Linked DNA regions of Saccharomyces cerevisiae S288C. Changing the gene in region 1 together with any one later gene gives a genetic interaction. Each region holds a gene or a part of one and is shown on either strand. Other genes may lie near its edges.

The links.
Region 2: mutations in ANS1 (region 1) and YSR3 together harm fitness more than expected from each alone (negative genetic interaction), as found in Saccharomyces cerevisiae (2 studies listed by BioGRID).

The regions. Positions count from the first base shown.
Region 1 is NC_001140.6:358,955-362,071, reverse strand, and holds ANS1 (Ans1p), read left to right. Parts: upstream 1-1,890; coding exon 1,891-2,370; downstream 2,371-3,117. Other genes in the region: YHR127W (uncharacterized protein), read right to left, coding at 428-1,159; YHR125W (uncharacterized protein), read right to left, coding at 2,909-3,117.
Region 2 is NC_001143.9:533,234-537,159, reverse strand, and holds YSR3 (sphinganine kinase YSR3), read left to right. Parts: upstream 1-1,878; coding exon 1,879-3,093; downstream 3,094-3,926. Other genes in the region: DYN1 (dynein heavy chain), read left to right, coding at 1-1,513; MRS4 (Fe(2+) transporter), read left to right, coding at 3,696-3,926. UniProt on the Saccharomyces cerevisiae protein: Dihydrosphingosine 1-phosphate phosphatase required for efficient ceramide synthesis from exogenous sphingoid bases. Involved in endocytosis and calcium-mediated signaling.

The DNA.
Region 1 (3,117 bases):
GGATAATATATAAGATATGTAAGGTACAAGAATGGAGAAGCCAAAAAGAATAACGGGTTCATGGTTCAAGAAGAAATGAAGCTAGTATTGGAAGAGGATTCTTACCAATATATATATCTCTTTTGAGGCAGCTTTGAAAGAAGAAGTGAAAAAAAAAAAAATTTTGAAAAAAAAGACGGAAAGGGAAAAGTCCGCCGGAGATAATTACAACTGTCGATTTTTTATGCGATGAGATAAGCTTATAGAAAAACCGGCCTTTCTGTTATTGCAATGACCTGCTTTATAGTTTATGAAATAATTACATAGGTCGATTACTAGTAGAATGAGGTATTGTTATTAGGCAGTCATGAGAAAGCATGTCTTCAAAAAAATAGTTTGTGGCGGGGATTTTGCTGATTAAATACCTTGTGAGTGTCGTTGACAAACTCTAATACGACAAGTGGGACGATTCATCAGATGCAATCACCACTTGGATGCGCCTTCCATCAACTAGAGCGCCATGGAACAGTTTTCTTACCTTCTCCAAAGACTGTGTTGTAGGATATGCCAGACGGACCTTAGCGGTGGCAGATCCTGAAGGCAGGTCTCTAACCCTAATTTGAGCTATCTGCACCTGAGAAATGTTTTCCAGAACATTTTTCAAGTTTTCTTGGTTTACTCCCAAAGTTAGGTTGAATAGCATTAACAATTTATCTGAAGCATCTGAATTTGTAGATATCACAAGCTGGCTGCCACCTTGTATTTCTTCGCCAAAATGTTGTCGCTGCAATTTAATATTAGTGGTAAAATTCCGAGAGTTCTTGGCCCTGTTCATGCCGTTTGCTTTTTCGCTCTGCCAATCGGTTCCTCTGTGGGCATTGCCCCAGTCAGGACTGCTGTTTATGTCTTTGTGGGGCCTATTATTCTTTATTCCCTTTTTCCTATTTCTTTGGGAAACATTAGTTCTTTTATCGATAGCACCCTGTGCTTCTCTTAACAGTACACCGACGTCATTGCTGCTTACTAGCTTACCGTTGACAACGCTAAATCCTTCTTTAGTGTGTTCTACGGTTTTTTTTTTCGCTACGCCAACTTTTTTAATCTTGTCCATGGGAACCACTCTGTCTATTAAGCGTTTACTTTGAACATTTTTCTTGGAGGTTGTTCTATTTCTAGCCATTTTGTGCTCTGATAGATATTTCTGCCTGCTCCAATCTAAGACATTGTATATTTTGAGGTTACTATGATCTCTAATCAATTCACGGTGTGTATCTTCTAAAAAATCTATGGATGGACCTTTTTTTTTTTCGCGTTGGCCCTGAAAGTTCCCTTACCCGGTTGCTTTTCCTGACAAATTTCTGTAATGACAGTAAATGAGGATGAAAAGTAGACTTTGGATACAATATCACTGCAGATTCGGCAAACTGAGGTGTTGATGTAAGTTGTTCTCACCGTGAATACTACCTCATCAATATGTATTGGGTAAGTGCAGCTCTTTTTTCTACCGTAATATTTCTTTGTATGGTAAAGTCTCGAACACTTTTCCTTTCCTTTTTTTTTATATTTCTTTTTATGCTAACTAATTTTTCTCTCTTCGAAAATCCAAAAAGAAAGTTTCAGTCGTACCTGGTACCTTGAGTCGCGATTCTTCGTAGTACAAATTATAAATCTAGACCCCACTTTGATTACTTTTGATGCCAAACGTTTCTTTTGACCTCTTTCCTTTTTACTAGCATTTGTAAAAATATCCATGTTTTTGTAGCTCGAGGAATACTATATAAAGGTGAACCTCCTCCTCAAAAATAGCCAACATTAACTTCAATACTTCATGTAATTTAATTTTTATAATCTGTTCAGTCAGCATATAAAAAATATAGAACAGAATCAAACGAACATCATAATTAATCTACCATGAAGTGCACTTTAGTTTCCACATTGTTTGCCATCACCAATATTCTAGTTGCACATGCACAAGTAAGCAACTCCTCAGACACGTTGGACGTACAATTTGCGAATAGTACGAACTCGTACATAGAAGGAAAATTTAATTCGACTGATGAAGCCTTCAACAGCAGCGCATCTTGGTCCTTAGCAGCTCAGCAGAAAAAGATATCTAATGCAGCTGTATATGATGTGGGTGGTTGGAATGGCTCATTGTATCGTTCCAATAGAAGCGCTGTTGCAGATCATCAACCCGGCAAAAAGCAAGATGCCGCTATTTCACAGATCAGTGATGGTCAAATCCAAGCCACTGCGTCTGGACCTGAGACTACCGCTGCTACTACCCCAAGTAGTACCGCAAATGTCTCTGTCTATGAAGGTGCTGGTATGAAGGTTGAATCCAAGAACATGGGTTATATAGTTGGAGTAGCAGCGCTATTATTTTTATAATTTGGCCTCCAAATGTAAAAATTGTACAATTAAGGACAATAGTATTTTCATTTTATAAAAAATATGTACATGTTAGAATTTTATAAGCCGAAAAAGCAGTCATTTTACCAGTTGTTTTATTCTTATCAGATGTCATATTCATGAAAACATAACACTGGCCTACACATTACACTGATTTTGTTCTTTAGGACAAGAAGTTTTCCAGAAAGAGTTTGCTGTCATTCACCACCAGTATATTATCATATACAGTATAAGGAGATGACATGAGTCGTGAGAAGTAGTCAGCGAACTTTATGAGAGCTCAAATACAAGGATTGGTAAAGCAATAGTAAGAATTGAGTAAAATTATTACACAACAGTTGGGATTTCGTTGTTGTGAAAGGTTATAATATTAGGTTTTCAAAAATATATTAAAAGCCACCCTCGAAGATACAATAATTCCAAAAAGGGTATCGATACTTTTACACAATATTATTCTATTACACTACTAGTCCTTGCGTTTCAGCTTCCTTTATTTTTGATGACTTTTTTTCAATCTTTACGTAATGTTCTTACACACCATGTGATAATACACTACTAATGTGACTACTAGTTGACGGATGATGATGTTCCTTATTACAGCAGTGTCAAGCCAAATGCATACATCGTATATTAATGTGCGCCACGTTTGACGTTTAAGTGTCACTGTGCTATTATAGAATAAAGAAAATGTTAGCGAGTATTTCATACAGTACTGAAGCCGAATTG
Region 2 (3,926 bases), on another chromosome or scaffold:
CCTGAAGAAAGAGGCCATGAACATTGAAAAAAAGCTAAGTGAATCTGAAGAGTTTTTCCCACAGTTTGATAATCTGGTAGAAGAGTATTCTATTATCGGTAAGCATAGTGTCAAAATATTCTCTATGTTGGAGAAGTTTGGTCAGTTTCATTGGTTTTACGGCATTTCTATAGGACAATTTCTATCATGTTTCAAACGTGTCTTCATTAAGAAATCTAGGGAAACAAGAGCAGCTAGGACACGGGTAGATGAAATTCTTTGGCTATTATATCAAGAAGTATATTGTCAATTCTCCACCGCTCTTGACAAAAAATTTAAAATGATTATGGCTATGACGATGTTTTGTTTGTATAAATTCGACATTGAAAGTGAACAATATAAAGAGGCAGTTCTAACTATGATTGGAGTTCTCTCTGAAAGTAGCGATGGCGTACCAAAACTAACCGTAGATACAAATAATGATTTGCGGTACTTATGGGACTATGTTACAACCAAATCGTATATATCTGCGTTGAACTGGTTCAAAAATGAGTTTTTTGTTGATGAGTGGAATATCGCGGATGTGGTAGCCAATTCCGAGAACAACTATTTTACAATGGCAAGCGAGCGAGATGTTGATGGCACATTCAAATTAATCGAATTGGCGAAAGCCTCGAAGGAATCGTTAAAAATCATCCCGCTAGGGTCTATAGAAAATCTAAACTATGCTCAAGAGGAAATATCAAAATCTAAGATAGAAGGTGGTTGGATATTATTACAAAACATACAAATGTCGCTATCATGGGTGAAAACGTATCTGCACAAGCATGTTGAGGAGACAAAGGCGGCAGAAGAACATGAGAAATTCAAAATGTTCATGACATGCCATTTGACTGGTGATAAACTACCTGCCCCATTGCTACAAAGAACTGATAGATTTGTGTATGAGGATATCCCAGGTATACTAGATACCGTCAAAGATCTATGGGGTTCTCAATTTTTCACTGGTAAAATTTCAGGAGTATGGAGCGTGTATTGTACCTTCCTATTGTCATGGTTTCATGCCTTGATCACTGCCAGGACCCGATTGGTTCCTCATGGGTTTTCCAAGAAGTATTACTTTAATGATTGCGACTTTCAATTTGCCTCAGTGTATTTAGAGAATGTATTAGCCACCAATTCTACCAACAACATTCCTTGGGCACAAGTGCGAGATCACATAGCTACGATCGTATACGGAGGAAAGATCGATGAAGAGAAAGACCTTGAAGTGGTCGCTAAACTTTGTGCGCACGTATTCTGCGGCTCGGACAATTTGCAGATCGTTCCTGGGGTACGAATCCCACAGCCTCTTCTTCAACAAAGTGAAGAAGAGGAACGGGCAAGGCTTACTGCCATACTGTCTAATACGATTGAGCCTGCAGATTCACTCAGTTCATGGCTTCAATTGCCAAGGGAATCTATTTTGAATTACGAACGTCTTCAGGCTAAAGAGGTGGCTAGCTCAACTGAACAACTTCTTCAAGAAATGTAGCCTTTTCAGGTACGCGTGTCTTGCTTGTCCGCGGTTTTCTCAGTGGACGTGCCTATTCTGGGTTCCTCTTGTTTGATGAGACTCTGATATCTACAATCCAAAAAAATCGGTTGTAGGAAGATGGCGTGCTTCTAATTAAAGTAACGTGGGGACTCTTATTTAGATACTTCCTAACTACGAGCACGTACGTCTAGAATTCATGTTATATAACATAATGATTTTTCCTTATTTTCTTAGTTTTTATCAGCCTTGCCTTGGCTTCCTTCTCAACATCTAGTTGAATTGATAACATGACAAAAAGAAGTTAGGCAGTGGTAGTCTTCAAAAAAATATACAAAATAGCAAGCCTGTAAAAGAATTTAATTATGACCATTATTCAGACGGTTACTGAATTGGGTGTTACCGAGGACACCATTAAGGTTCAGATGGCTCCTTCCGGCGGCAAACACCTATTGGCAGATCCCGGTAATCATCCAGCGGAGCATTTTGAGAGCCAGATGTCGTGGCTAAGGTTTCAAACAAGGCAGTATCTAACTAGATTCACAGACAACCAATCAGATTTCGTACATTCTTTACAAAAAAAGCACAGAACGCCTTTTAGAGACGTTTATTTCAAATACACTTCGCTTATGGGTTCCCACATGTTTTATGTTATCGTGCTTCCCATGCCTGTGTGGCTTGGATACCGCGATTTAACACGGGACATGATCTACGTTCTTGGTTATTCAATTTATTTGAGTGGCTACTTAAAGGATTATTGGTGCCTACCAAGGCCAAAATCACCGCCAGTTGACAGAATCACACTAAGTGAATACACTACGAAAGAATATGGTGCACCCAGTTCACATTCTGCTAACGCTACTGCGGTAAGTCTATTATTCTTTTGGAGAATATGTTTATCTGACACACTGGTATGGCCAACAAAGCTTCTTTTACTGAGTCTGGTGATATTTTACTACTTAACCCTGGTTTTTGGTAGAGTTTACTGCGGTATGCATGGTATGCTGGATTTATTTAGCGGCGCCGCAGTTGGAGCTATCTGTTTTTTTATAAGAATCTGGGTGGTGCATGCTTTACGAAATTTCCAGATTGGTGAACATCTCTGGTTTCCCCTTTTGAGTGTAGCATGGGGCTTGTTTATTCTGTTTAACCACGTCAGGCCCATTGATGAATGTCCTTGTTTCGAAGATAGCGTAGCGTTCATTGGCGTAGTCAGTGGGCTGGATTGCAGCGACTGGTTAACCGAAAGATACGGATGGAACCTTGTATGTAGTAGGTACGCATCATGTGGTTCTAAGGTGTTCTTGAGGCCTCTGGTAGGTGTCGCTTCTGTGATTGTTTGGAAAGACGTCATTAGCAAGACAGCTGTCTACACGCTGTTAATTAAACTACTCAGATTTCACGATGATAGAAGCGAAAAGGTTCATTTCCATAACGAGACAAGTGAAGAAGAAGAGTGTTTATTGTACAGCGGTGTTTCCAAAGTGGAAATCGTCGGAAGGTTTCTCATATACGCAGGTATACCTACAACCGTCTTTTTGCTATGCCCAGTTTTTTTCACTTGGACAAACTTAAGGTAGACTCTCGTATGTATGCATTTAGTGACTTATACATATATATTGTATCTACATAACACATCATTGAAATTCACCCCGATGAGTACATATTTGGAATTCAGCATTTTTTTTTTCTCGCTTTTGATAGCCAGCCCATCTATGGTGCTTACTAATGTATAGAGAGGATATAACAATGAAAAATCAAGATTTCAGGCATGAGTCAAGACTTTAGCTCTTTTATATACCTTCAGGATGTTCGTACCATGCGTCGCAGGCCCTAGATCGGCGTTTTGGGTTTTACACATGCATGTTTGCCGTGGTTCACCCTCTTTTAACCCACAGGAATCGCTACTTTGACACCCCCGATCGTGTCTCTTTTCGGTATTTTGGCACCCTTTCTTGAATGAGAGCATGGCGAAGACTGAAAGGCAAGAACACCCTGCTATCTTTTGCCTACCATTGGCGAACGTCATCTTATCTAAGTAGTAAGCTGTATATAAAGATATTTGGAGGTTTTATTGGAATCTCATAGAATTTTCACTTTATCAGAGGTTTATTGACGAAGACTTTCGTGAGAAGTACAAAGTGAAGAAGTAAAAAACTCAACCGAAATATCAGTTAATATTATGAATACTTCAGAACTGTCAATAGCTGAGGAAATCGACTACGAAGCTCTTCCATCACATGCTCCGCTACATTCCCAGTTACTGGCAGGAGCATTTGCAGGTATAATGGAGCATTCTTTGATGTTTCCAATAGATGCTCTGAAAACCCGAGTGCAGGCTGCAGGATTGAATAAAGCTGCCTCTACAGGGATGATATCTCAGATATCCAAAATATCTACAATGGAAGGTTCG